5 linked regions of the Callithrix jacchus genome follow. The protein of the gene in region 1 interacts with the protein of each later gene in a pairwise test. Links are inferred from orthologs where the notes say so. Each region holds a gene or a part of one and is shown in the gene's direction. Other genes may lie near its edges. The genes, in order: BAG3, HSPB1, LITAF, ENTREP1 and ARRDC3.

Evidence for each region.
Region 2: the proteins of BAG3 (region 1) and HSPB1 interact in binary tests that used the Homo sapiens proteins (3 or more experiments, as listed by UniProt). The link is inferred for Callithrix jacchus from reciprocal best matches to the Homo sapiens genes BAG3 and HSPB1.
Region 3: the proteins of BAG3 (region 1) and LITAF interact in binary tests that used the Homo sapiens proteins (3 or more experiments, as listed by UniProt). The two-hybrid records come from large-scale screens. The link is inferred for Callithrix jacchus from reciprocal best matches to the Homo sapiens genes BAG3 and LITAF.
Region 4: the proteins of BAG3 (region 1) and ENTREP1 interact in a two-hybrid assay, tested with the Homo sapiens proteins (2 studies listed by BioGRID and IntAct). The link is inferred for Callithrix jacchus from reciprocal best matches to the Homo sapiens genes BAG3 and ENTREP1.
Region 5: the proteins of BAG3 (region 1) and ARRDC3 interact in binary tests that used the Homo sapiens proteins (3 or more experiments, as listed by UniProt). The two-hybrid records come from large-scale screens. The link is inferred for Callithrix jacchus from reciprocal best matches to the Homo sapiens genes BAG3 and ARRDC3.

Annotation. Positions count from the first base shown.
Region 1 is NC_133513.1:113,171,319-113,177,845, reverse strand, and holds the start of BAG3 (BAG family molecular chaperone regulator 3), read left to right. Parts: upstream 1-2,875; 5' UTR 2,876-3,189; coding exon 3,190-3,369; intron 3,370-3,441; exon of another isoform or gene 3,442-6,527. UniProt on the Homo sapiens protein: Co-chaperone and adapter protein that connects different classes of molecular chaperones including heat shock proteins 70 (HSP70s), e.g. HSPA1A/HSP70 or HSPA8/HSC70, and small heat shock proteins (sHSPs), e.g. HSPB8.
Region 2 is NC_133503.1:11,063,563-11,069,325, forward strand, and holds HSPB1 (heat shock protein beta-1), read left to right. Parts: upstream 1-2,029; 5' UTR 2,030-2,069; coding exon 2,070-2,433; exon of another isoform or gene 2,434-2,874; intron 2,875-3,116; coding exon 3,117-3,180; intron 3,181-3,291; coding exon 3,292-3,481; 3' UTR 3,482-3,601; downstream 3,602-5,763. UniProt on the Homo sapiens protein: Small heat shock protein which functions as a molecular chaperone probably maintaining denatured proteins in a folding-competent state. Plays a role in stress resistance and actin organization.
Region 3 is NC_133513.1:17,575,927-17,580,841, forward strand, and holds the end of LITAF (lipopolysaccharide-induced tumor necrosis factor-alpha factor), read left to right. Parts: intron 1-1,713; coding exon 1,714-1,822; 3' UTR 1,823-3,406; downstream 3,407-4,915.
Region 4 is NC_133502.1:95,517,823-95,523,703, reverse strand, and holds part of ENTREP1 (endosomal transmembrane epsin interactor 1), read left to right. Parts: intron 1-1,565; coding exon 1,566-1,718; intron 1,719-3,932; coding exon 3,933-4,225; intron 4,226-5,881. UniProt on the Homo sapiens protein: Functions as an activator of the E3 ubiquitin protein ligase ITCH in the ubiquitination of the CXCL12-activated CXCR4 receptor. Thereby, triggers CXCR4 endocytosis and desensitization, negatively regulating the CXCL12/CXCR4 signaling pathway.
Region 5 is NC_133503.1:119,360,713-119,367,283, forward strand, and holds the start of ARRDC3 (arrestin domain-containing protein 3), read left to right. Parts: upstream 1-2,494; 5' UTR 2,495-2,719; coding exon 2,720-2,999; intron 3,000-4,842; exon of another isoform or gene 4,843-5,377; intron 5,378-5,386; exon of another isoform or gene 5,387-6,280; intron 6,281-6,571. UniProt on the Homo sapiens protein: Adapter protein that plays a role in regulating cell-surface expression of adrenergic receptors and probably also other G protein-coupled receptors.

The DNA of each region.
Region 1 (6,527 bases):
TCTGAGAAATCAGGAGAGATGATAGTCTAATTTCCCAAACAGGCTACTTTTGAATGAGGGGTGGGGGTTGGGGGTGACAGGAGGTGGTTGTTGGTACCATCTCCGTGCAGTCAAAAATCCCTGCATAGCTGGGCACGGTGGCTCACACCTATAATCCCAGCACTTTGGGAGGCTGAGACGGGTGGATCACTTGGGATCAGGAATTTGAGAACAGCCTAGCCAACATGGCGAAATCTGTCTCCACTAAAAATACAAAAATTAGCCAGGCATGGTGGTACACGCCTGGAATCCCAGCTACCTGAGAGGCTGAAGCAGGAGAATCACTTGAACCCCGGAGGCAAAGTTGCAGTGAGCCGAGATTGCGCCACTGCACTACAGTCTGGGAGCCAGAGCAAGACCCTGTCTCAAAAAAAAAAAAAAAAAAGAAAAGAAAAAGAAAAAAGAAAATCCCTGCATACTTTGTTTTTGTTTTGTTTTGTTTCTGATTCGGAGTCTGGCTCTGTCACCCAGGCTGGAGTGCAGTGGCATGATCTCAGGCTCACTACAACCTCTGGCTCCCAGATTCAAGTGATTCTCCTGCCTCAGCCGTCCGAGTAGCTGGGATTACAGAAGAGTGCCACCACGACCAGCTAATTTTTGTATTTTTAGTAGAGACGGGGTTTTGCCATGTTGGCCAGGCTGGTCTTGAATTCCTGATCTCAAGTGATCTCCTGCTTGACCTCCCAAAGCGCTGGGATTACAGGCGTGTGCCACCACCCTCAGCCCCTGCATACTTTTGACTCTCCCAAAACTACCAATAGCCTACTGTTGACCAAAAGCCTTGCCAATAATATGAACAGTCAATTAACACATGTTGTGTGTTACATGTATGATATACTGTGTTCTTGCAATAAAGTAAGCTAGAGAAAAAAAATTAAGAAAATCATAAGGAAGAGATTTACATTTATTGCTCATTAATTGGAAGTTGATCATGATAATTGTCATCATTCTCATCATCTTCACGTGGAGGCTGAGGAGGGGAAGGAAAAGGAGGAGACAGTGAGAATCCACTGTCTCAGGGGTGGCAGAGGCAGAAGAGGTAAAAGAGGTGGAAGGGGAGACAGGAGAAGCAAGCATACTCAGTGCAAATTTTATTGAAAAAAATCCAGGCCAGGTGCGGTGGCTTATGCCTATAATCCTAGCACTTTGGGAGGCCAACAGGGGTGGATCACCTGAGGTCAGGAATTCTAAACTAGCCAAGCCAACATGGTGAAACCCCATCACTGCTAAAAATACAAAAATTGGCCCAGTGTGGTGGTGGGCGCCTGTAATCCCAGCTACTCCGGAGGCTGAGGCAGGAGAATCACTTGAACCCAGGAGGCGGAGGTTGCAGTGAGCCCAGACTGCACTACTGCATTCCAGCCTGGGTGACAAGAGCGAAACTCTGTCTCAAAAAAAAAGAAAATCCATGTACAAGTGGACTTGCTCAGTTCAAACCCATGTTAAGGGTCAATTGTACAGTAATCTGAAGTATGTAACCTGATGTTAACCAATCATTTCTCTCTCTCTCTCTCCCTCTCTCTCTCTCTTTTTAAGAGACAGGGTCCTGCTCTGTCGCTTAGGCTGGCATCAGGAGCACAATCATAGCCCATGGCAGCTTCAAACTCCTGGTCTCAAGTGAGCCTCCCACCTCAGCCTCCTGAGTAGCTGAGACTACAGGCATAAGCCACTGCACCTGCCTTATTTTTTTATTTTGTAGAGGTGTAGGTCTCACTGTGTTGTCCAGGCTGGTCAAACCCCTGGACTCAAGAGGTCCTCCAGTCTTGGCCTTCCAAAGTACTGGGATTACAGGCATGAGCCACAGTGCCAAGCCCTCATCCGTTATTTTTCTGTGATTCTCTCTGTCCCCTCCTTACGAGGAAAGTAATTTTAAAACAACCAATTCAGCCTTGGTTCTTTGTTTCTGTTTTCTTCAGCCCTTCTCTGTCTATAAAACCAACCTCTTCTGCTCGGCTTTTAGGAACACTTATTCTAATTTAATGGAGGTGTTGCCCAATTCTAGAATCACAAAATCAGTTAAGATCTTTAAACTAACAATAAAAGTTAACAAATAAAAACAAACAAAAAGATCTTTAAATTAAAAATGTTGTCATTTTCTCCTTTGGCAGGTTACAAGTGCAACCTCCATTCAATGAACCAAGCGAAAAAATGTCACGGTTAGGTTAGGTCTTTACTTCCCAAATGAGGGTCAAGATGTAGGATAGCAAGAACCAACCTCTACTATAAAAAAGATCCAAACCCAAGAGAATGTGATTTTTCTGTAAAGCTGTTTACTACAACGAAACTTTCTTTTTAGTCTGGGAGACTAAAAACCATCAGCTGACACAATCTTTTTTTCCTTGAAGTTTCCAAAGAAAGGCAAGTGAGTTTGCACTGACTTCCATTTTCTCCCTGCCTTCCTGCTAGTGTCAGATGAGCGTCCCCGCGCTCCTCCCAGGCAGCCCTCAGTGTCCCGGGCTGTCATATATGGGGGAGGGGATGGGGTGGGTGAGATGGCTTTGTTTGTACAGAAAGGAGGGGCGGCAGGCACGGGGAGGACCGGCTCCGGCCCAGGGAAAACTCACTAGGCGCTAAGGAGAGGGAGGGAGGGAGTGTGAAAGCCGAAACCCGCCCAGGGCGCACGGAGGACGACCCCAACTCAGTGCGTCCGGCGTCCCATCCGCAGTCAGGCCCCGAAGGCGCGCCCGCGGCCACTCCGGCCGGGGCACGCGCACTAGGAGGCTCGGGGAGGGGCGGAGGGAGGCGGGGGAGGGCGGGGAGGTCGGGGACGAACGAGAGGGCCGAGGCCCCGCCCCCGCCCGCCGCGATTATAGCCGATGACTCAGGGCGGAGCTCCGCATCCAACCCCGGGCCGCGGCCAACTTCTCTGGACGGGACTAGAAGTTTCTAGCCGGCCAGTTGCTACCTCCCTTTATCTCCTCCTTCTCCTCTAGCAGCGAGGAGGCTATTTCCAGACACTTCCACCCCTCTCAGGCCACGTCACCCCCGCCTTTAATTCATAAAGGTGCCCGGCGCCGGCTTCCCGGACACGTCGGCGGCGGAGAGGGGCCCGCGGCGGCGGCCAGGCCAGAGACTCGGCGCCCGGAGCCCGCGTTCCGCACCCGCGCCCCGGCGGCCCCCGCTCCGGGCCGACCCCAACCCCTACCCAGCATGAGCGCCGCCACCCACTCGCCCATGATGCAGGTGGCGTCCGGCAACGGTGACCGCGACCCCCTGCCCCCCGGCTGGGAGATCAAGATCGACCCGCAGACCGGCTGGCCCTTCTTCGTGGACCACAACAGCCGCACCACGACGTGGAACGACCCGCGCGTGCCCCCCGAGGGCCCCAAGGTGAGCCGGGCCCGCGGCCCGCCCTGGTCGATGGCGCCACCTCGACGGCGGGCGGCGGGAAGGGGGCCGGGCGGGTGGGACGCGAGAAGCGGGGCCCGGGGGTCGGCGAAGGCCCCTCTCAGGCGGACACCGGCTCCGCGCCCAGCCACACATTCCCGCGGCTCCCGGACGAGTCCCTGCTCCCGACCCGCCCTTGACAGGCGTCCGGGCCAAAGGAGGCCCCGGGATCCGGTGGCCCGGGAACCGTCCCCGCAGTGGCCCCTGTGCCGTCCGCGGCTCGACTCCAGGACGGAGGGCCGGGTGTCCGGCGCTGGCCTAGCCCTCCCGAGCTTGGAGGAGGGCAGCCGGCTTGGTCGGCTCCGGAGGCCGCAGTCCCTGCTGCCCGCTTGGCCTCCGGGCCCGGGACCCGCGGCGCACCCCGCTGTCCACGAACGCGAGGGAGACACAAGCTTGGATGGTGGTTTTGGGGGATTTTTACCTCTCAAGTTCCCTAACTTGGTTGAGGGATGTCTTCACTACTGTCCCATCTGAGGCACCCAATGACTCAGGAAGCTGGTGTCAAAACATTTATGCCTGTGTGTGTGTGTGTGTGTCAAATTAAAATTGTATTATTGTTTGAAAGTGCTTTGGATCTGTATGTATCCTATTATCACTTGTAAAATTAAAAACGGGGTGCATTTCTCCCCAGCAGTTTCTAAACTAGACGGGAGACTGTCTTACAGTTGGCCATTGCATTACCACATTGCCTCACCCTGGAGAGAAAGAGAACGATAATGTGTATGTTTATAATGGCATTCGCTTCCTGCCTTGTTATGGTATTAAAATACTTAGGATTTGTTACCAGTACACAAATAACTGAGTAATGATACTCTTGTGAATATAGCAGAAGTATGTCTCATTTACATATATGCAAGGATATATACTTTTTAATCCCCAAGAGCATGAAATTTGAAAACATAAGTTTGGAATGAGTCTGTTAATTTTCAAAAATCATACTTATACTATTCTTTCCATTTTCTGTAAATTTGAGCTTTCAAAATAAAAAGGTTTTAAAAATAATTATGTTATACTTAAAACGTAATTGTGACTGCTGTCTGGGCAAGATAGAAGCAGCAAAAGAGGTGATAAATTATTTTGAAGATTTAAAAACTCAGCAAATTAAAAATGCTTTGTATCTCATGATTTTAGAAGAAAGACCCATATTATTTCCCTTCATTTTTATACACGTTCTGTTTTAACAATATTGACAAAACTCTGGTTCCCAACAGTGAGATGGTGTACAGTCAGCAGTTTACATTTACGAGAGATTAATTGTATATTTATTCTTGAAAATTAATATAAGAGGCTGTAATTAGCTGGGATGGGCACAGTTAAATATACCTTTTTGGGTGTCCAACCCATTTTTGGGTGAAACTGACGCTCATTTCAAACCCCCTTTCTTAGCAGTCTGCGTGGATGTACATGATCTTTAGTGTGGTTTACAACTATTATTTTGAGGGCTTCTTCCTGTAGACATAGGGACAGTAGCATTTGCTGGCAGCCTTTGTTATGAGTGAAGATTAAGTTTGAATGTAAACATTGTCAGTACTTTGTTCTCAGCATGAAACTTACCCAGCAAGTTGAGATCTTCCTGTACCCACCTGGTGCCTGGGTTAGGCTGTGGTTTCCTAAACCTTAAAAGGAAAAAAGCAGGTTTAGTTACCATTATTCTTCTCAACAAATAGAAAGTAAGAACTACTAAATCAGAAGTCTGATGCTGGAAAGGTTTATTTGAAAATTTCACAGTGAAAATGTTAAAGTTGAAAGGTCCTTGAAGATCTTTTAGGTAGGCTTCTTTATTTTCTGAAAAAACCTGGAGAGTTCAGGTGTGATTTTTGAAGGTCACCCAGCTAGTACCGATAGCAGGGAGAGTACTGATGTCAGGAGAGTCCTCATAAGAGGCAGTGTGTCTGTTCAGAAGGTGGAAGTGAATGTTTTGTGAAACCGTGAAGCATGCAGGCTAAAATACTTGATTACCTTTGTGCCCTCCTGGCCACCAAGTTATTGGGTCACTGACCTCTGTGCTGTGATTGCTTGGATTTTGATGATGGGACATGATCAACTCAAGAAGAGAATTCTCGGGCTGGAGGCAGTGGCTCACGCCTATAATCCCAGCACTTTGGGAGGCCGAGGCGGGTGGATCACGAGGTCAAGAGATCAAGACCATCCTGGTCAACATGGTGAAACCCCGTCTCTACTAAAAATACAAAAATTAGCTGGGCATGGTGGCGTGTGCCTGTAGTCCCAGCTACTCGGGAGGCTGAGGCAGGAGAATTGCTTGAGCCCAGAAGGGGGAGGTTGCGGTGAGCCGGGATTGCGCCATTGCACTCCAGCCTGAGTAACCACAGCGAAACTCCGTCTCAAAAAAAAAAAAGAAGAGAGTTCTCTTTACCAAATCAATGACTTGAGACTTGTGAGCATGGCACCAAAACTTAAGGAGAAAATTAACATTCAGCCCATGAGCTGTTTGTGCTTCATTGCTTTTGATCCTGTGCTTTGACACACGCAATATATGGTGACTAATTCAGTTGTACTTGTGTGAATTACACCTTACTCAAGACTAAATGTAGTAAAAAATCCTTCAGTATCATTTTGTATTTGAAATTGGTTTTTCAATGCATAATGAGAAAAGGGCCCTTGCAGAAAAACAAAGGGTAATTTTGGAGGAGTTGAGCTGAGGCTCAGATCTGGGCATTACCATCTTCAAGAGGAAATGCTGTCAGTCAGCAAAAAGCTGTTCATTGAGCGTGAGGAGCTCAAGAGAAACCTCTCTTTTGGGGGATGACTCAGCTTCAGGATGTTTAACACTTTTGTTTTATTTTGTTTAACATTTTTGTTTTGTTGAGACAGTTTCACTCTTGTCCCCCAGGCTGGAGTACAATGGTGCGATCTCCATCTCGGCTCACCTCAACCTCCCCCTCCTGGGTTCAAACAATTCTCCTGCCTCAGGCTCCCAAGTAGCTGGGATTACAGGCACGCGCCACCACACCGGGCTAATTTTGTATTTTTAGTAGAGATGGGGTTTCTCTATGTTGGTCAGGCTGGTCTTGAACTCTCGACAGGTGATCTGCCTGCCTCGACCTCCCAAAGTGCTGGAATTACAGGCATGAGCCACTGCA
Region 2 (5,763 bases), on another chromosome or scaffold:
GGAGGCCAAGGCAGGTGGATTACTTGAGGTTAGGGGTTCCAGACCAGCCTGGCCAACATGGTGAAACCCTGTCTTTACTAAAAGTACAAAAATTAGGTGGTGTCGTGGCACATGTCTGTAGTCTGAGCTACTCGGGAGGCTGAGGCAGGAGAATCGCTTGAACCCAGGAGGCAGAGGTTGCAGTGAGCCGAGATTGGGCCACTGCACTCCAGCCTGGGTGACAGAGGGAGACTCCATCTCAAAAAAATTACAAATAAACATAGAAGACGTACAGTAAGAACACAGTGGTAGGGCGTAGTGGCTCATGCCTGTAATCCCAGGACTTTGGGAGGCTGAGGCAGGTGGATCACCTCAGGTCAGAAGTTCGAGACCAATTTGACCAACATGGAGAAAACCCATCTCTACTAAAAACACAAAATTAGCCAGGCATGGTGGCTCATGCCTGTAATCCCAGCTACTCAGGAGGCTGAGGCAGGAGAATCATTTGAACCCTTGAGGCAGAGGTTGCGGTGAGCTGAGATCCTGCTTATGCATTCCAGACTGGGTATGCAAAAGAGCAAAACTCCATCTCAAATTTAAAAAATATAAATCAACAAAACCACAGTAATATAATTTTTTGTTTTGTTTTTTGAAACAGGGTGGGCCAGGTGTGGTGGCTCATGCCTGTAATCCAAGCACTTTGGAGGCCAAGGCGGGCGGATCACCTGAGGTCGGGAGATCAAGACCAGCCTGATCAACATGGTGAAACCCCCTCTTAAGAAAAAAAAAAAGGAAAAGAAACAGGGTCTTGTTCTGTTATGCAGACTGGAGTGCAGTGGCACAATCAGGCTCACTGCAGCCTCCTGGGCTCAAATGATCCTCCCACCTCAGCCTTCTGAGTAGCTGGAACTACAGATGCACGCCACCATCCCCAGCTAATTTGTTTTGAATTTTAGTAGAAATGGGGTCTCACTGTGTTGCCCAGGCTGGTCACAAATTCCTTGCTTCAAGTAATCCTCCCACCTTAACCTCCCAAAGCCCACACACCTTGCAACCACACAGATTGTCAGATTCCTTTTTTTTTTTTTTTTTTTTTTGAGATGGAGTTTCGCTCTTGTTACCCAGACTGGAGTGCAATGGCACGATCTCGGCTCACTGCAACCTCCGCCTCCTGGGTTCAAGCAATTCTCCTGCCTCAGCCTCCCGAGTAGCTGGGACTACAGGCACGCACCACCATGCCCAGCTAATATTTGTATTTTTAGTAGGGACGGGGTTTCACCTTGTTGACCAGGATGGTCTCGATCTCTTGACCTCGTGATCCACCCGCCTCGGCCTCCCAAAGTGCTGGGATTATAGGCGTGAGCCACCACGCCCAGCCATCCAGCTAATTTTTAAACATTTTTTGGTAGAGGTGAGGTCTCACCATGTTGCCCAGAATGGTCTCAAACTCCCGGCCTCAAGGGATCCATCCTTCCTGCCTTGGCCTCCCAAAGTGCCGATTACAGGCATGAGCCATGCACCCAGCCCCTTTTTATTTTTTTGAGACAGGGCCTTGCTCTGTTGCCTAGGCTGGAGTGCGGCGGTGAGAACATAGCTCACTACAGCCTCGAACTCCTGGACTCAAGCACCAGACTGCTTTACATCACATTCCACACACAGCCTTGTGGTTCCAACCCTGCCTCTGCCACTTCCCAGCTGTTTGCCCCAGCCCAACCTGTCTGGCGCTGTCCTGCTTAACAAAAGGACTGGCCTGGCCGCCGGCCACACCCGCCAGCGCTGAAGCACCAGGGCCTCCGAGTGCCCTAGTGTGGCACGTCTCCAGCGTCGCACTCTCGAACTCATTTGTTTTCCTTAACGAGAGAAGGTTCCAGATTGGGGCAGAACCCTCTTCGCCCCGCCCACGGCCCCCTGAACTCTGCGGATGGGGGGGAGGGGTGCATGGGGAGAGGCGGTCCCAAACGGGTCATTTCCATTAATAGAGACCTCAAACACCGCCTGCTAAAAATACCCAACCGGAGGCACATAAAAGCGCGACCCAGCACCGCGGCCCGCACTTCTCCGAGCAGACGTCCCGGGCAGAGCCAGCCAGCATGACCGAGCGCCGCGTCCCCTTCTCGCTCCTGCGGAGCCCCAGCTGGGACCCCTTCCGCGACTGGTACCCGCACAACCGTCTCTTCGACCAGGCATTCGGGATGCCCCGGCTGCCCGAGGAGTGGTCGCAGTGGTTCGGCACCAGCAGCTGGCCGGGCTACGTGCGCCCCCTGCCCCCCGCCGCGGTCGAGGGCCCCGCAGTGGCCGCGCCCGCCTACAGCCGCGCGCTCAGCCGGCAGCTCAGCAGCGGGGTCTCGGAGATCCGGCACACGGCGGACCGCTGGCGCGTGTCCCTGGACGTCAACCACTTCGCCCCCGAGGAGCTGACGGTCAAGACCAAGGATGGCGTGGTGGAGATCACCGGTGAGCACCCCCTGGCCCTGCAGGGGAGGGGAGGAGGCTAGCGGGGAGGGCGGGGCCCGGGGGTGCGGTTGAAACCCCGGGCCTGGGGAGTTAAAAGTTAGCCCAGCACCGGGAAAAACGGGATCCGTCCGTGATTCCCCTGCTCAGGAATCGGGAGTGCAGGTCGCTTCTAAGGTCGCTTTCTGCTCTGTTATCTCAGCGCCTTGGGAGGCGGAGGCCAGGAGTTCAAGACTAGCCTGGGCAATATAGCGAGACCTCCCCCCCTACCAACTACAAGAAAATTAAAAAGCAACCAAAAATGTTTTAAAAGATCATCGGTGAAGAAATGCTTCTTTCCACGGAACTCTCTCCCCACCCGCAGCCCCATCCGCAGATAAGCGGGTCCCCTGGCGTGGTCCCTGTCCCTAGCCGCGCGAGGGGCGTGCGTGCTCCTCCCAGTGCGCCTGCGCGTTGCTCCCTCCGCCCCTCGGCACCCTGCTCCGTTCCTCCCAAAACTCTTACTCGAACTTTCCGGAAGTTTCTGAGAGCCCGGACAGGCCGGCACGCCCCCACCCCCAGTCTCCTCTGTTAATCCCTGCCAGCCTGCAGTCCTGGCTGCCTCCAAGCTGGAGGTGGGGCCTCTGGCCTGGCGGGGCCGAGAGTCGGTCCCCTTTCCCTCATTCTGATTTTCCTGTCCCCCGAAGGCAAGCACGAGGAGCGGCAGGATGAGCACGGATTCATCTCCCGCTGCTTCACCCGGAAATACTCGTGAGTCCTGCCGCCAGGTCGGGGTGGGTGGGTGCCGGGGGCTAGGGAGGAGGGCACAGGGACCCACCCGAAGTGTAATGTAACGTTCACATTCCCTCTCTGCACGTCCAGGCTGCCCCCTGGTGTGGACCCCACCCAGGTCTCCTCCTCCCTGTCCCCTGAGGGCACACTGACCGTTGAGGCCCCCATGCCCAAGCCAGCCACACAGTCCAACGAGATCACCATCCCTGTCACCTTCGAGTCGCGGGCCCAGCTTGGGGGCCCAGAAGCTGCGAAATCTGACCAGTCTGCAGCCAAGTAAAAGCCTTAGCCCGGATGCCCACCCGTGCCGCCGCCACTGGCCATGCCTCCCCCCCCACCTGTGTGTTCTTTTGATACGTTTATTTGTTTTTCTCAAATAAAGTTTGAAGCAACCCACCTGTCACTGGCTCAGACCCTGGTGTTTGTGGAAGGAAGCTTCGGGCACCTGCCATTCCCTGGCTTACACTAGCCACCTTTGCTCAGGGTGTGCTGGGTGCACAGCCCCGTGCTGGGCCATGTGGGTACTCCCGTGTAGGTTGCTAGGCACAGGCTAATTCACATCCATAAAGACAGAGAGGTCCTATTGCCCGGCATTGTGGCTCAGACCTGCAATACCAGCACTTTGGTAAGTTGAGGCAGGAGGATTGCTTGAAGCTGAGAGTTCAAGACCAGCCTGGACAACACAGTGAGACCCTATCTCTTAAAAATAAAAAGCCAGTTGCAGTGGCTCATGCCTGTAATCCCAGCACTTTGGGAGGCTGAGGGGAGCAGGTCATGAGGTCAGGAGTTCGAGACCAGCCTGACCAACATGCTGAAACCCCATCTCTACCAAAAATACAAAAATTAGCCAGGCGTAGTAGCATATGCCTGTAATGTCAGCTACTCAGGAGGCTAAGACAGGAGAATCACTTGAACCTGGGAGGCAGAGGTTGTGGTGAGCCGAGATTGTGCCACTGCACTCCAGCCTGGGTGACAGAGCAAGACTGTCTCAAAAAAAAAAAATAATAAAATAACAGAAATAAAAATTAGCCAGGGGTGTTATTGCACACCTGTAGTCCCAGCTACTCAGGAGACTGAGGCTGGAAGATTGCTTGAGCCCAGGAGTTGAAGCGTGCAGTGAGCTAAGATTGTGCCTTTGCATTCCAGCCTGGGCAACAGAGCAAGATCGTCTCAATAAATAACTAAAAACTCAGAAAGAGTGAGACCTTGTCTTTAAAAGAAAAAAAAAAAAGGTCGTGATTGCAAGGTCATGGTTGCAATTAAAACTGTAAGGTGTGGAAGCGGAGGAAATGGGAAGCACCTGAGGCTTGAGTTTTCACGGTCGGCGAGGCTGGGGCCCAGGTGAAGGGGCACGGGGGTAATTGCACCTCCCCGCAGAGATTACTGCGTCAGAAGCTTGGCTTCGGCTTCGGCGCACCCAAGGGCACCACAGTGGACCTGGTAAGCTTTGAGGTCGTCACTGCCACACCCCCTGAGGCCAGGGCATCCCTGTTGGCAGTCACAAGGGAACTGGCAGGCAGAACTGGGGTGAGAACGGAGCCCGCAGTCTCTGGGTGGGGAGATTGGGTAGCACCCTGGCCGACGCGCTCAGACCTGTGCTGCTGGCTCTGCCAGCGATTCTTGTTGCCTGTGTTTATTTTCAGTTGGCCTCCCTCCCGGTGTAGCCAGGCCTCCATGGGCCCAGTTCCTCTGTTGTCTGCCCTTGCCCTAGCTGCCACCCTCTAACCAGGCCCAGGGAAAGCTGTGGAGGTACATAGCAGATGGGGGTGCCAGGCGTAGTGGCTCATGCCTGTAATCCCAGCACTTGGGGAGGCCAAGGCAGGTGGATCACCTGAGGTCAGGAGTTCGAGAGCAGCCTGGCCAACATGCTGAAACCCTGTCTCTACTAAAAATACAAAAATTAGCCAAGCGAGGTGGTGCACGCCTGTAATCCCAGCTACTCGGGAGGCTGAGGCAGGAGAATCAATTGAACCTGGGAGGCGGAGGTTGCAGTGAGCCCAGATCGCACCATTGCCCTCCAGCCTGGGGGACAAGAGCAGAAACTCTGTCTCAAACAAACAAAAGCAGATGGGGGCTTTGGAGTTTGGTTTTGATGTCCTCAATTTTTTGAGGGACCCAGAGTCTGAGGCTGTAGCAAGACACTCCCATGTTCTTTTCTCAGCTGTGGGAAGTAGAAAAGTTCCTCTTTAAATTTCCTTCTTGTTTAAGAATAAATCATACGCGTGCTAGTAACTCTTTGTGAAGCCCTATCCTGTGTAGCTGTGAGACACGCCATGATTACAGGCACGTAGTACATTCTACATCCTTGTACTTTAACCAAGATGTCTGTGCTGGACGTGCTCACAGGTATGCAGCTGAAGCCCCTTACCTGTTTAAAAAAGCTTTAAATTACTAGCCAATCAGGTTTTAGTTTAGATTGAGAGGTCTGGCTCCAGCCAAGGGAGATCAGACACAGCAGTAAGGACGACCCCAAATGCCTAAGGGATAAATTTATTGTTTTTATTTTTTAAATTTTTTTAGAGATGGGGTTTCACCATGCTGGTCAGGCTGGTCTCAAACTCC
Region 3 (4,915 bases), about 96 Mb from region 1:
ACAGTGAGTTCAAATCCTGCCTCTCACTTGCTGTGTGGCCATAGGCAAGGGACTTTACGTCTCTGTGCTTCGGTTTCCTCATCTATAGATGGCAGGTGACAGGGGGTTAATAACGCCCACCTCGGGGGCAGCTGAGGATAAAGATGTGTGTGCTGCCTGGAATTGTGCCAGCACCTGTAAGCCGTAGATTAAGATTCCCACTGAGCGGACTGACTGCTCACCCTGTGTGAGCTCTGGAAAGCTTGGGCAATAGGAGGAAGTTTCTTTCATTAGATAGTTTCCTCATGAGAATATTTCCAAATTCTGCTTTATGTAAAGCAACGTCTTCCTATAAAAGGTTGAGTTTTAACTACATTTTTGGCAAACACTGCTTGTCAGGCTGTATGAAATTCCTGCCTGTGTGTGCCAATGGTGCTTTATGAAGGTTAAGAGGCGTTTTTTGGGGGATTCTGTTCGGTTGCGGTAAGAAGCAGCCTGTCCACATGGAAAAGAGATTAGGAAGACAGGGGTTGGCAAAACGGCCCGGGAGCCAGGTGCCTGTTTTAAGTTTCACGGGGACCCAGCCACACCTATTGGTTTTTGGATTCTCTGTGGCTGCCTTCTCTTTACAAGGGCAGAGCTGAGTAGTGGCAACATCAAGTCGGGGCGTGTGGTGGTTTCCACCTGTAATCCCACACTTAGGGAGGCAGAGGTGGAAGGATCACTTGAGGCCAGCCGTTCAAGACCAGCCTGCGCAACCTATCGAGACCTTATCTCTGCAAAAACAAACAAAACCCAGCAATAAAAAGACTAAAAGATATGCTGTCTGTCCCTTTGCAGAAAAAGTTCACCAAGCCCATCTAAGACTTTGAAAGATTCCTAAATGACCCAAGATTTAAATAATGCCCAGAGGGGCTCTGTCTGTGGGAGGAGCCTTGGCAGTGGCTGGCATGTTAATTTCCTAGGGCCGCTATCAGAAATGACCTCACACCTAGTGTTTAAAACAGCAGCCATTGACTCTCATAATTTTGGAGGCCAGAGGTGTAAAATCAAAATGTCAGCAGGGTCTGGGTGCAGCGGCTCACGCCTATAATCCCAGCACTTTGGGAGGCCAAGGCTGGTAGATCACTTGAGGTTAGGAGTTTAAGACTAGCCTGGCCAACCTGGTAAAACCTTGTCTCTACTAAAAATACAGAAATTAGCCAGGCTTGGTGGCGTGCACCCACAATCCCAGCTACTCAGGAGGCTGAGGCAGGAGAATCGATTGAACCTGGGAGGCAGAGATTGTGGTGAGCCTAGGTTGTGTCACTGTACTCTAGTCTGGGTGACAGAGCCAGACTCCGTCTCAAAAAAAAAACAAAACACCCCAAAACCAAAATGTCAGCAAGACCACCCTCCCCTTAAGGCTCCAGGGGAGAACTGTTTTTTTGCCTCTTCCAGCTTCTGATATGTCCAGGTGTTCCTTGGCTTGTGGCCTTATCACTCCAATCTCTGCCTCTTTTTTTACATCCCCTTCTGCGCCCCACCCCCTGCCGTGTCCTCTCCTTTTCTTCTAAGGTCATTAAGTTTTGGGGGTCCACCTGGGTAATCCAAGATGATCCCATCTCAAAATCCTTAATTACGCTGGCAAAGACCCTTTTTACAAAGAAGGACATGAACCTGTGTTTTTGGAAGCCAGCATCCATCCTGCTATAGTCAGTAACGTGCTCCCTGTGTCTCTCTCTCTTCTCCCAGGTGCATAGCGGGCTGCTGCTTTATCCCCTTCTGTGTGGACGCCCTGCAGGACGTGGACCATTACTGTCCCAACTGCAGAGTTCTCCTGGGCACCTACAAGCGTTTGTAGGACTCAGCCAGAAGTGGAGGGAGCCGGGTGCCGCAGGGAGTCCTTTCCACCACTCATCCAGCTTCACGCCTGGTGGAGGTTCTGCCCTAGTGGTCTCACCTCTCCAGGGGGCCCACCTTCATGTCTTCCTTTGGGGGGGAAAATGTCGCAAAACTAACCAACCTCCAAACCCCAGAAATTGCTGCTTGGAGTTGTGCGTAGGACTTGCAAAGACATTCCCCTTGCGTGTCGGTCCAAGTATCAGTTCTGCCTCCCTGTGACCCTGAGTCCTCCCATCTAACTGTGATCATTGCCCTGTCTGAGTCTCTTCCTGTGATCTGCCATCAGTGGCTCTTTTTCCTGCCTCCGTGGGCCTTTCTGGCAGTGGTCTCACACTGAGAAGCCACAGTTGCCTTATTCTGGAGGCTGTTCTGCCTGGAGCTTGGCTGAGGCAGCCTTTAGTGCCTACCATTATCTTACTCATCTCTTCCCATCCCTGATGACAGAGATCTTGCCTTATAGACTTTACAGGCTTGGCTTTTAGACTCTGTAACTGCAGACTTCATTAGCACACAGATTCACTTTAATTTCTTAATTTTTTTTAAGTACGAGGAAGAGGGGTTATTAACACCCAGCACAGATATATCCACGAGGTCATAAACGCATGCTAAAAAAATAGGGCTGGATTTATATCACTGCTCCGACCCCCCCGCCCGCCCCCGGTTTATGTGTCAGACCTTCAGCACCCCTTCCATGCAGGGATTTTTTCTCATAATTATATGAACAGTTTTTATTACCTCCTTTTGGTCTGAAATACTTTTGAACAGAATTTCTTTTTTTTTTTTTTTTTGTTTAAACAGAGATGGGGTCTTACTCTGTTGCCCAGGCTGTTCTCAAACTCCTGGGCTTAAGCAATCCTCTTGCCTTGGCCTTCAAAGTGCTGGGATTGCAGGCGTGAGCTACTGTGCTTGGCCTGAATATAATTTTAAGAGGAGGATTTATTAACATTTTCTGTAATCGTCCGATTGGTGTCATTTTCCCATTTGTCCATGTAGTCTCACTTAAAAAAAAAATACATAAAAAGACATGGATAATTTCATCCTCTGCCTTTACTTGGGGATAATCTGGTTTTTAAACACCTTCATGGAACTCTGAAAGTGGGATCCCTTTTGGGTCCCTGGCGATGGGTTTTGAAAGATAAGCACGTCCGGGTACCCTGGTGTCAGAAGGAACCAGAACTCTTTCAGAGGAATCTAAAGTCTGATTTTAGTTTTCAGAGACACGGTTTGTTGTAAAACATCCGAAGACCTGATTTCCAGGACCCAAGCAGCAAGCCAGCTGCTGTGTTGTCTTTAAAGTCAAGAAAAAGCTCCAATTTGATAATAATTAAGCATAAGGAACTCACGTGAATACTACCATGTAGAAATAAAACCTAGATCTTCAACGAACATCTGTATAATTGGTTGAACATGATCGTGGTAACCATTGATCCCCCTTATTTTATGTGTTTGGAAAATTGCAGTCATGATCATTTTGCAATGAATATGGATACCACTTTGGTGTTACCTGCTTTTGAAAAATAAAGTCTTTGGTTCACTCAGTGAACTACTGATGATTTCTTTGGATGTGTAGAAAGGGCTCTCAGGTTGCATTTCCAGCTGTTGCTACAAAGAGCCTTTATTTGCTCGGTAACGTTGAAAAATTCTTCCCGATGAAAAACTTCAGACTTGCTGAATATCCTGCTATCTCAAGATGACCGATGTTGAGTTGGGCGGATTTGCTAACGAGTCAGATTTGAGCATGCGGCTGTTGGAACCCAATAGGCGTCATTGATGGCGGCAAGCCATAGCTTTCAAGTTTTAATAAAATGCACAGAAGAGAGCTGTCCTCATTCATTCTCTGAACAAAACATGCTTTGTGAGATGCTAAAAAGAGGGTATTGTAATGTGTCAGGAATATGGATGCCGCCTTCCCCCTCCTTTGCTACCTGATGAGACGGCTTCATTTCGGTAGGTGCAGGGAAATACTGTCATCTTGGTGGGGCTCACATTATCATTTAAACCCTAAATTCCAGTCTTGAAAAATTGCGGCTTTCCAGATCTTGATTGTGTGCTTTCGAGGCCATGCATATTTAGCAGTTTGGCTCAGATGGTGGCGTATACATGATCTCAAGCTGTTATTAATTACACATGCAGAGTCTTCAAAACGAGAGCCCTATTTCAGGATCGTAAAAACATGTATTACACGGAACTTCCACGTCAGATGCCTGGAGTACGAAGCGCTGGACATTGCATTTTATTGTTTAAAGTATGGATTTACGTATTTTTGCAAATTAAAAGGCTTTTTTGTTTTGCCACTTTCTGATGGGGACCTGAGGGTGTCACAAACACTGGTTCACGTTTAGTGAATGAAAGGGCTTTATTGGACCGCAGAGAGGAATTTTACCAATCTGATACCAAAAGTGGCTGCATATCTTATATTCCACTGTGTCTGTCTAGGCAAGGGGGCATTCTAAGAAGTGTTGGTTTGTGTCCTAACAAAACTATTCAGCTACCGCATCTATTGAAGCCAGACGTAAGCACATGACTGATCCTTGCTGACCGCAGCGTTACCCATGAAAATGTTTTCTCTGGGACAACTAGCCTCCCAGTTGCTAACGAGACCACCTCTGTTGGATACTGAAATATGTATAAACATGGCTTCATGTGCTCACACCATTTGGCCTCAGTTTTCTCCCTAGTGAGAGCCTGTTGTATTTGGGATGCTAAAATCTTTCTTTGACCTTCTGGACTGAAGATTCCTGGTAGGAGTAAATCTAGACGTTGGAATTTTGCTTGCAGAATTCGGATTTGCCTTTTGGTCCCTCGGTCCTCCCCTCCCTGTATGACTCAGACATTTACAATGAGTTGCCTGTTTTTTGCAGGCACGTGATTGAATTGGAAGTAGATCTAGCAAGGGCCATGAAAGGGACATCAAGAGTAGTTTTGATTTTTTTTTTTTTTTGAGAGAGAGTCTTGCTGTGTCGCCCAGACAACAGTGCAATGGCATGATCTCAGCTCACTGCAACCTCCTCCTCCTGGGTTCAAATGATACTCCTGCCTCAGTCTCCTAAGT
Region 4 (5,881 bases), on another chromosome or scaffold:
ATAGCCATGATAAAATAATGATCCTGTCTGGTGTTTTGTTGGAGGGCAGATATTCTTGCAGCAAATAGTTCAAGCTACATCTTTTTCTCCAGGCACAAAAATACCGTCAACTATTAGGGCTTATAAATCAGAGAAAATATGTGAACTGAAAAAAGATATCCTTAGAATTTTTTATGAGCCAAACTGCTCTCAGGAACCATGAAATAGATTACAGAGTTTGATTTGGTATTCCTGTGTTTCCTGACATATGATTTTCTTCCTCCTAAAAATTAGCTAGACTTTTGGCAGGAGAAAAAGATTTTCTCTGTTGCAGAGTGGTTTGAGATGAGATTGTGCTATATCATTTATAACCTAGGGCCCAGGTCATGCTGTCTGAGCAGCTAGTGAATTCTGATTTTTCAGGACTATAGTAAGTACTAGAGCCAGTTTACATTTATCACTGTTATTTAAGGGAATACTGTTATGGCCTTCTCTCTTTGGGGAGGCTTTAAGTGGCCCAGAGAATTGTCCACTAGGACAAAATTGCAAACGGTATAAATAATGGATCAACTCTTAGCAATTTTAGATGGAGGTAATTTTTCAGCAGTACTATTTGTAATGTAATACTCTGTGCTCTGTTCACCTTCCATCCTAAGTAGAATTATGAAGCAGTGTTCTGTCTCCTAAGTTCATAATTTTTCCATTTTTAATTATTTTATCTTATTTTTATTTATTTATTTTTGAGACAGAGCTTTGCTCCTTTTGCCCAGGCTGGAGTGCAATGGTGAGATCTCAGCTCACTGCAACCTCCACCTCCCAGGTTCAAGTGATTCTCCTGCCTCAGCCTCCCGAGTAACTGGGATTACAGGCGTGTGCCACCATGCCCAGCTAATTTTTGTATTTTTAGTAGAGTCTGGGTTTCAGCATATTGGCCAGGCTGGTCTGGAACTCTTGACCTCAGGTGACCCACCCTCAGCCTCCCAAAATGCTGGGATTACAGGCATGAACCACCGCACCTAGTCAATCTTTCCATTTTTTAAAACAGTTTCCCGAATTACAACTCAGGCTCACAAATGGTGTGATTTTATTTTCATGAGCATATATTATCCAATTCCAGTGGGGTTTTACAGATTTTTTAGTGGCGACTTGACTCTCTATCTTAGCCATCTGGGGGTTCTTCAGCCCACAGGGCAGCCACCTCACCTGTCCAGGTATTAGCTTCCCGAGAACCAGGTTTATCCTGAGCTGTCAGGGAGCTTTTCAGTACTGCCCCAGGATGCTTCCCTGGAGAAGATTCTAAGCACCTTTAGGAAAAAAAACCCTGACATTTTGGCATGGCTCCTTTATTTTGCTCTTGGATTTAAATTTTCTGTTTGTTTGTTTTAGGCATGGAGGGGTGGTTTGGAAAGGCAAGTTTTCCCATAGTTCAGTGATATAAAAACTTACTGGGCCAGCAGCCTGAGTAAATGTTATTAACTACATTACCCTTGCCCTGGCAGGTTTAGGCTCACAGGTGTTTCCTGTCCATTTCGAGGACCACAGCTGGTGAAATAATTTATATTTTGCCTCTTTAAAAAAAAAATCAGGTGGGGACATTCCTAACATACCTGCAGAAGAAAACGCATCCATGCCAACTCCCAGTTCAACCCTGGTGTGTCCTGTGAGAAGCCACAGAGCCCTCCCACCCCTGAGGACGAGGTCGAAGAGTGACCCCATGCTCCATCATTCCGAGGAGAGAGGTGATGTCATTCCCCAAGCTCTTCGTAGGACTCTGTGCTTATTTGTCTAAAGGAGCCAGGTGAAGGCAGGTGGCTCTGGCCAGCTCAAGACCCAACAGTTGAAGTGGTTATTCGAAAGAGCTTATGAGGCCTTGGGAAAGTAAAATATTCTACATGTATGCTAGGAATATACAACTGTCATGTCTTTTAAGGATGGTAGGGTTTTTTTTTTTTTTTTAAGTCATTGTCATCAAAAGAATTTGGTTGTACATGATACTGTGCTAGGTGCTACATGAAGAAAATTATGCACACCTAGTTATGATTTCTAGATGCTGCAATCCTATGGGAATATGCATTCTCTTAAAAAAATGTCAAAAGGATTTTTGTATACTCCCTCTTCTATAATTTGTTATATTTTTACTATGTATGAGTAGATTGAATTCTTGAAATCTGACCTTGTTTTTAGAACTTTGATAGAATGAAATACATATGCCCACACACTTCACCTTTCTCTCTCTCTCTCTCTCTGTTCAGTTTGTGTATAGACGTTACCTGAATAACTAAACATTTAAAAAAATTAAAGTAACAACACTGATGATTTTTTCTGAATATATGAATACCTGAACATCTCCAAATATCTCTTCATTGTAGAAAATTATAAAAAGTAAAGAAACTAAAGGAAGAAAATTAAAACCTCCTGTAACTCCACCAGCACTGGCTTCTTGTGAAGTAGTCTAGCAGAGCTGACCTCTGCTCTTCTAAAACTCTATGCAAATAAAACTCTGATAATCCTCCACCCTGCTCTCTCTAGGGTCCTGCCTTGAGCCCTTGCAGTCTCTGTTCTGCCCCTCTGACAGTGTGTTACTTGCCACAGCTCTGGACTGACCATGTGCGAGCCAGAGAGAACACTCCTGTCTCTACAGTGGCTTCTGAGTGGGAAGTCCGGCCGCCTGGTACTGAGTCTCTGAAAGTTAGTGGCCGGGCAGCCTGGCTTCTGATTCCCAAGACCTGCCTTCACTGTGGGTCTTCTATACCCAACATTGGCAAGTTAAGGACTCCAGCCTCAATGGAAACTTAGCCATTTGCACCGCTTAGGGAAATCTCTCTGGAACCCTTTCTCATTCTGCAGACCTGCAGGGACAAGGACAGCAGCTGCTGGAGCCCTCCATTGTGGAAGGCACAAGGTTGCCTTCTAGTGGAAGAGTGGAGACCCTGACTCTGTCCTCACACACGAGTGTCTTTGGCGAGTGCTTCTGAAAGACTCTTGCTCTCTGTGACATGCACATGGCTGCCTGAGAGGACAGTCTTGAATCCTGGTTTAGAGCTCCCCACACCTGCCTTTCTCCAGAGGAAAAGGAGTGCTCCCCTTCTTCCACCTGCTCTCACCTGCTTCTTGTCTTCTTTGAATTTCTAAATTTCTGCTTATCAGGCCTTCGTAGACTGAACATGCAAGTGTTGTGTACACTGAAGGCTGCTGGCTGGCTTCTGGACGCATAATGACCAGATCTGAGTTTTGCTTCACCCACTTCACAGTGCAGAAGCCTTCTGCTGGTCTTTACAACCTTGCTAATGTAGGTAGCCATGGAGATTAGAGCCTGTGATGGATTTCCCAGGCCCTCTGTTGACTTCCAAATGATGTGTACTTTTTCTGCACCTAAGTTTCTCTTTTTGTAATAGCTGTAGATCTACCTCATATCCATGGTGTGAGCATCAATAACGCAAGTCAGTACAATGTCCTTGAGGACATTTGGGACAAAGGTATAGTCAAAGTGACCAGAGCATTACATTCATCTGACAAGTCTTGTCTCTCTTCAGCCCCTTTCTCTCTTAAGTGACTGCTTCATCCTCACTCCTTGGAATGTCCTTTCATTGGTCAGCCACGTTTTTCCTGCTTGGCCCATCCATCCCCATCTATTTGTCATACCCCATGAAACTTACTTCATTGTGGTTTGCATTCTGGACTCTCCTCTCTACCATCTGGCTTTACCTTGGGGGTGGTGTTGTACATGACACCATTACATGTTTTGGACCATATCCAGTTGGAACTGGATTCAGGGAATAACTTTGTATCATAGTTGTTTTCCCCACTTCTGCAAGATAAAAAGCAGGGTGTGCATGGCTATCAGCATTTGTCAGATGCTTCCATGTTGAGTTTTGTGGTCTGTGCTTTCAGGTACAGGCATGTGTTCAAAAGGGGTTGGCCAATGGGTACATGTTGTTTGTTTCTGCCAACAGCTGCCCCAGTGCTCAGCTGTGAAGCTGCGACACAGACTGAAAGGAGACTGGATCTGGCTGCGGTGACTTTGAGGAGAGGCCTGAGATTGAGAGCTTCGCGATGCAGACCGCAGTCTTTGATAGATTACAGATCCTACATGGACACCAAGCTGCTGGTGGCGAGGTTCCTGGAGCAGTCCTCCTGTAGCATGACCCCAGACATCCATGAACTTGTAGAAAACATTAAATCTGTTTTGAAGTCTGATGAGGAGCACATGGAGGAAGCCATCACAAGTGCCAGTTTCCTAGAACAGGTAGTTTTATTATTAATCTCAGGCATGAATCAGATAACTCATTTTCATAGCAGCTCAAGTGGCTTCTCCGATTTCCTGTCTGAGGCAGAGTAAGTTCATGGTAACAGTCTTCAGGTAAATGTGGTTGGGAGGTCAGGGGAGGGAGAGAGAGGAAGCCAGGGAGCTTTCCTTTCAAGTGTGGTGACTTTCCTACATCATCCTTGGCTCAAGGGAAGAAAACCCAGTTTTTCTGGGATGTGAAAGGATGTCTGGAAAAAGAAAAGAATGTGTTCTAGGAATAAGAACAAAGGCTATGGACAGTGTGGAGTGCATGCAACATTTGGTTTCCTGAATTGAAGGTTTCCTTTGATGGGGCATGTTTTCTCAGCCCTTTGAAAATGATGACATAGGTGAATTTTAATATTGACAAGATTCTAAGAGCTGTTCACATTACCATGAAATGTTTGGCAAGATATATAAGCAAACAGGTCCTAAAGGAGTAAACACCTTTTCTTCCTATAGATTAAAAAGTACAAGGCAATCCCCAAAACTGAAGCCACTTGGGGAAAAGATAGAATTGGGTATGAACATAATCCAGTTGAGTCTCAGGTTTCTCCTCTTTAAAGTAAAGGGTTGGACTAGGTAGTCTCTGTACCTTTATTTCTGAATGAATGGAGTTTCCTTCTGGTAACAGCCTTCTCTCCAACTCTTTTAAAAGCCATTCCCTTTTGGATGTTTGCTTCATTGCTACAGGTAGTGGGGTGGAGGTTGTAGACAGCATCCCACAATGGCATTTGGATGTTATGTGGTTCTGTGTCTTTGTGCATTAAATGCCCCCAAAATGCTTCTTCAATTGAAGTGGGCTAATTTCTTAGGGTAATTACCAACTTCAGGATCATAGGTAAAATTTTAACTCAGATTGAGTAAATACCCTTCTCACTTTCCCTCTGTTCCCTCTTTCTACCTGCTGGCCTCTTCTTAACAGAAGCCAGAAGCCAAATTCTCTCCCAGTCCCTCAGGGGATCCAGTGGGGAGGAATGATCTGATTACTTGCATGAAGAGGTACATCAACCACAGACCCTAAAAAGTCTGATCAGTTGATGGTTCCGGATCAGGCTCCAGTTACTAGTCTGGGTAGGGGAAACATTTTACATCCTGGTGTCCCTTAGCTACTCCAGTTATCATTCTCTGTCACCTTCCCTCTGTCTGGCCCCAACAGCCCCAAAACAGGAGCCACTTCTGGAAGGCTGCCAAGCTCTGATAAAGTAAGAGCTGGAGCATTCACCAGGCAGTGGGCCTGGACCTTCTGCAAAGTTTTGCTCCCTGGGAAATAGCTCGGGGAAAAAGAACAAGCACTTGTACGGTTCACTAGATGTTATCATTACAACTGTTTGCTAGATCTTTGTGCTTCAGACAGGTTAAAAGTTCAGGTGCTGAGATTGTTGTGATATATTTTGGGCCATCTGCTGGGCCTTCCAGGACTGGACCTTAGAGGTGAGGTTTTGTAATGCCATACCTTTTCCCAGGCAGGAGGAGGCAAGGACTGCAGCTTCGCACATTGGAGTTTTTAGATCCATTTTGATTTTCACTGATATCAAAACCACTTATCCTATGTAACACAGTCAACTTCTATGAATGTTGAACTTTTATTCTGAATCAGGAGACAAGACAGACCTT
Region 5 (6,571 bases), on another chromosome or scaffold:
AACATGGTGAAACCCCGTCGCTACTAAAAATACAAAAAATAGCCAGGGCAGTGATATGTGCCTATAATCCCAGCTGCTCCGGAGGCTGAGGCAGAAGAATTGCTTAAAGCCAGGAGGCAGAGGCTGTAGTGAGCCAAGATTGTGCCACTGCACTCCAGCCTGAGGGACAGAGAGTGACTCCATCTCAAAAATAAAAATAAAATAAAAATGGCAGCTAGTAAGAATTTCTTGGCAATTTTTCAGTTACCTAAGTACTTAGGAAGAAACACTAATAAAGAAAATAAAGAAAAATAGCAAAATAAATAATAAAGGCAACTATTCAAAAGATCCTGAAAGCTTCAAACACAAAGAATAATGTACCATGCAGTGACAGGAAACACATAATATTTTAAAACAATTTTCCAAACTACAAATAAATTTCTTGGGGTTCTTTCTTATTAAATGCAATTCTAGTATATTTAAACAGCTAATTATTCTTTTTTTTCTCAAATAAGTTATATTCTAAGTAGATAAATTTTACTAAAAAAATCTGAATTCAGCTGTTGTTCACTAACTCTTAATAATTTTTAACACAAATGTGTAACGAATTTATGTATTCATTGTGTATTACACTTTTAAGTCCATTCCTTGCTCAGCCGTTTTTGAATGCTTAATAAGTATCATTGACCTTATGCTGAGGAAAAGCTGTCATCTAAGAAATTTACCACTTTTACCACCAGGTGGAGAAAAAACACAAGTAGTATCTGTTATCAAAACTAGTACAAGGTCCCAAGTACTTTACCTAGATTTCCACCAGGTGTCAACCAAGAGGGGAGAAAAGACACTATTATTTTTACCACTTAAATATATAAATTCATAATTTTAAGCAAAGAGATCTAAACTCTGAAATAAATGGCTTGCTCGATAAGTGTTTAAATAGTTTGCATAATTATACTCTATATATTGCTGTTGAGTCCAAGCTATTGCCTTGTCAACTAAAATCCAATTCCCCCAAATTTACTTTATTCTGAAATAAAGAAAACAGCAAGACCAGTAAGTTTAGCTTATTGTGACTCATAGGCTCAACCTATCCAAATACACACTCAAAAGAATCTAAAATGTTTAGATACGGACAGCCAAAAACCTTCCAAGGTATTTTTGGTCATATAGAGATATATATATATCGATATAGCACCAAATTCATACTTTTTCTCTCTACATTTCTCTTGTAAGGCGGTTCTGTTGATTGCCAATAATCTAAAGGAGTTTATGCTGTTGTGCTCTGAATCCCAGGATGATGTTACGAAAGCACTGCTATTTTTTACCATTCACAATAAAAAGAGAAATGTACCTAAATTTAAGATGTATCATGAGAATTACTACGTTAAATGGTCCAAGGCTCTCCGCTCAAAAAGCTTCACACAGTCAATCCCTACGTATATACCATATCACGCTTTTTAAAAAACTATTTTACGTGCTTCACTAATTTCTAACAAAGATTTTCCGATTCTGTTGCAAACAGTGTGTCAGCTAAACCACAATGTCATATGCCTTTTATAAGGTGGTACTTTTTTAGGCTGAACTCTATTCTTATTCCTCAGGACGCAGGAGTTGTAATCATGTCTTACTCTGCAAATCTAGTCGGAGGTGGTATCTTAATAGGGACTTTTTCTTCCTTCGAGGAAGTGGGCAAGCTTTCCCCTAGCCCTCACCCGTGTCATCCTGGAAACAACTTGGTTGTTTTTCGGTGGTATCTAATTAAACGATGGAGGAGAAAGAAGTTCAGCCTACTGATTACATTATATTTGCTTCTCTACCTTACTATTCAAAGGATTCTTTAAGGTTCCTTTGACCTCGACTGAGTTCATTTCCACTCTACCTCCCAAGTACTGTTAAAAAAAAAAAAAAAAAATCCAAGCCAAGAATACTATGAACAATACTTCTTGTCCTGTTTTAATACGTTTTCTTTTAAAATTCGTTAAGATTGTGCTCAACAATCGGCCGCTTGCCCAACCGGTTTCTCCCTTCCCCCATCTCTCTTCACACATCACTTCTTCCTCCTCCCATCCAGCTAGTTGGCAAAACCCTGCAGTGCCGGTAACGCACGCTTCGGGCTGGTCACTGCAGTTTATCCTTACTTGGCTTTGCAAACAACTCCCCACCCAGCCCTTGTCCCCTCGCGCCCCGTTCTGCCATTATCTTTCTAGTAGAGTGTGCTCGGTAAGGGGCTCCAGATAGCACGTCGAGGGTTTACGGTAGCCTGCCTACCAATAGGAGCCCACAATGAAGAGAAGTCAGGTTCAGCCTGCCGGCAGCTCCAGTATCTTCTTCCCCTAGCTCTACACCTACTGTACCCGGGAGCGAGCGAACAAGGGAGCGAGCAAGAGAGCGAGCGCGGCGCGGCGCGGGAGGGAGCGCGCAGGGAGGGCGGACAGCAGCCGCAACTTGCGCCTGCGCACTGGGGTTGTTTTTCACAAAGCTGCTCTTAAAGTGAGCTGGCAGCCTTTAGCCGCCCGTCTTTGTAAGGAGACCGCTGAGACGAGCAGGAGCGTGGAGCAGCAGCGTCTGCTGCCCTGACTTTTTAAGAAATCTCAATGAACTATTTGTAGATAATCACTGATCCGGCCTGCAACCATTTTGCACGGCAAAAATATCGATCAGTGTTAAGTGAAGATCACATTTTATATGTGATCTTGACTTTTTTGTCTTACATTATATTTTTATAGATTTTGTTATAAACATGGTGCTGGGAAAGGTGAAGAGTTTGACAATAAGCTTTGACTGTCTTAATGACAGCAATGTCCCTGTGTATTCTAGTGGGGATACCGTCTCAGGAAGGGTAAATTTAGAAGTTACTGGGGAAATCAGAGTAAAATCTCTTAAAATTCATGCAAGAGGACATGCGAAAGTACGCTGGACTGAATCTAGAAACGCCGGCTCCAATACTGCCTATACACAGAATTACACTGAAGAAGTAGAGTATTTCAACCATAAAGACATCTTAATTGGGCACGAAAGAGGTAAGTTTTTCTATTATTGAGAAGTCATTGGACTCATTTTCTTTGGAAACGTACCTTTTCAGTTTTCTGAATTAACGCGATTTTACTCCGAGCATAGCTAAGCAGTTTGATAAAGGTTAGCAAAGTTGCAAGGTTTGGATTCTCCTTGACGTTCATCGTGTGTTAAGCCGTAATGCATGCAGGCATCTGCAAAGTGACTGCAAACTGCACTTATTCAACTACCTCTATACCCGGCTCGGTTTGTGCCACACGCACTTGTAGTCCATTTGCACCTTATACATTCTGCTTGAATCCAATTCAATCGTTTTACTAATGTATTCTCAAATGAATTGCTAAAAGCTGCAGTTTTAGATTTTTGCAACCTAAGACTTAAAAACTGAACTTCGATCAAGAAATGTAATAACATATTTAAGAGGCTTAATTGGATGTTTCATTTTTAATATTGGAACGCAAAGACTTTAAAGAATTGATCACCTTTCTTTCACAAACGGTTTCTGTGGCTTATTTTGACATATGGTATCAACACCCCACGTGTTTTTTTATTCTTTTCCGTTCTTTTAAAAATTTACACCAAGCATTCCTTATTTTTAAGGGTATTATCTGTCATTATTATAGGTATTGAGTCAGTTTTAGAAGTCATTTAGGATCGGTAATTCTCTTTTCCGAGCATCATGTCTAACTTTGGAACATGCATTCAATGAAACCCATGCCAGTCAAATGGAATTGAAAACTATAGGGCATAGTGGATTTGATTTTTGGTTAGAAGAGGGAGATACAGGGTTGTCAAAGGGAGTAGAGGTCCTGAGATTTCCAATCTATTGTTTAAATGGTTACATTGTGGAAATATAGGAGACTCTAGGCTTGTTTTTCTAAGTTTCCACCCTTTGTTAGAAGCGGTTCAATCCTGTTTCGGACCAGTTCTGGGGGGTGGTGAGGAGGGGCGCTTGTTCTGCTCTCAGCAGATTGGTTACACGCGTCAGGTGGTGGCGATGACTTAATTCCTAGCCCAAGAAGAATATAATGTTAAAACTGGTTATGTAATTTTTGTGCCTCTCCTTTTTAATACAGTATTTAGTTCAGATGTTGGCGATTTTTCAGAAAAAAAAAAAAAACAGGCACATTTCACCTTCTTTTTTATATTAAAAATGTACATCCTGGAGAAGTGCTGATGACTGAACTACGGCAAGTGAGAAATGAAGGATGCTTTGAGTGACACTATTAATGCCTTATTTTTGAAACTATTAAGGTGAACTCAGTTCTTTAGTAGGGTAGGGTTTTCGTAGACACAGTTACTTTGTATCCAGAAATAATTAATCTCTCCAAGCGTTAACACTGATAGGAGATGCAAATGCCTAATGACAGTCTTGGTATTTGTTGAAAACCAGATACATGACTTAGTGTTTGTACCTTTCTGAATATGCAGCTATTTATGAAATGGGTGAAAAGAAACAGGTTTTTCTTCAAGGAGTTGAGACTTGCAATGGGGGGAAAGTAGAACGAGTTGTGGGGACAAATATAATTTTATTAGTCACACTATGATTTCATGGCAAAGAAAACTAAGTGCCCTGCCACCCCCTACAAAATGCCCCCCAAACCCTGCTACGCGTAGACTAGATCGGTCTGGAATAGTTTCAATGAGACTTGAAACTGGGAGCTCTCAAACTAGCCTGGTAACTGAGACCCCGCCCCGGGCGCCCGGGATAGGCAAAGCCAGGTTTGTTAGCCTGTTGCTAAGGCGATGGCAGGCGCTGATTGGATTGGGCGCGGGCGGGTGGGGAGAGTGGGCTCGCGCCGCCGCTGGGGCGAGGCTAGGAAACCGGCGTGCGCCGGTAAAGGTCTCTCCAGAGCAACCCGTACTCCCGTACTTACGTTTGTTCCCGGGCTTCTGGAGGCGCCCGGCCCTTGTCACATCACGTTCTGTCGCCCCTCTTTTGGGCCTGATAAGGGCCATCGAAAGGAAACGACTTCAGGATTTAACTGAGTAGACGGCAGACGTACCTTCTAGCCTTACAGGTGCCAGATGGCTCTGGACGCAACTTTAGCAGAAAATCCTTTTTAGATGGGAGTTTGACGCGAAGGGTTGGCAGGACCCCCTTAGCTATCTTCCGGGAGGGGCATACTGGGGGACTCCTGTGAACGCTTGTTTTCCCCTTAGCTGAAACAAAGAGTGTTGCCCGACTTCTCTAGTCGCCAGACTGGCTACCTTGATTCGACTTGAGGGGAGAGAGCAAAGGTTGGCCCGGGGGAGAAAGTGATTCCAATATCGAAATCTGGGTGGGGGCCTCGACGGGTGTCCCCTGCCCCCTCCCCCATTGTTTCCCGTAGCCTACCGGCCCCCGCCTCCCCTCCGCCGCCCCAGTTTCCCTCGCTGCAACTGTAAAGGTGTCAGAGTGGCCCGAGCCAGATCGAACCGGTCGCCGGCTGGGGCGTGTAAAGCGGAAGCGCAGCGACTCTGTCGCCCCTCCTCCCCGTCCAGCATGTTAGGCTGCGCGGGCACGGGCGCGAGCTCCGCGCGACGTATGCCGTATGTATAGCGGGGCGCGCGAGCGGCGGCGGCGCGCGGGCGGGCCGGCTGGGATCTGCTCGCGCCGGTTTAGGCCGGTCCTCTCCTGCTCCGGTCTAGTTCTTGATTGACAGCCGGGCACTTGTTTACCACGGCGCGGCCGCCGCCGCCGCAGCCGCTAGCCTCAATGAGACTGCTGAGCTGGCACAAAAAAGGGAGCGAGGAGGGAAGAAAGGGAGAAGAAGGCAAACTTTGGGCGCCTTGGACAGGAGCGAATTTAAATGGCCCCCAGTTCACCAGCTAGTTTTTGATTCTGAAATCCAGTCAGGGGATTTGCACAGGGGGTGAGGAAAATCGTATGGAGACATAAGCGAATCACCATGATTTTTCAATAAAAGTATCGACGTATACATGCCTTTTTCCTCCTTTTCTCGTTTAATATCAGGGAAGCATCACGTTTTTTGGGTGTATTCAGTACTTTTCTGAAGGAAAGTTAAATAATGTGCCGGTTTTTCCCTACTCTGAGGGCTAATCGCAAAGGTTTCTACACCGAGGATACTTTTAAAAATATTTGTGTAATTATATATCTAGTCAGAACGCTAAATAAGCATTTTAATGATCTAGAACCCCCTCCCATATTTTCGATTATATTTCTTTATTTTCATGCTACTTCAAAAGATAATTTGACCTCATCCCTTTTTTATGGCAACTGGAAACTCTTAGTAATTGGACTTCATTTCTTCAAGGATGAGGGACAATATTGTTTCCTCATAAGCAGGTACCACCTAAATGCTGTTGTTTTAATTATCTAAGGGTATAGCTTATGCAAGTTTTAGTTGTTGCTAGGACCAACTGAGTGTTGTGATCATTTTAGGACAATAAATATTTATTTTTAGCTATAAAACACATTAAAATCAATGTGTGTGCTTTTTTTTTTCCTTCATCTATTTGACAGTTTTCCAGTGGTTTTGGACTATCTATTCTATTCATATTTTTGGTATTCCCCCTAAACTGACATATTTTAAAAGGTTTGCATGAACAGTTTTTATTTTAAACATTATAGTCTTAA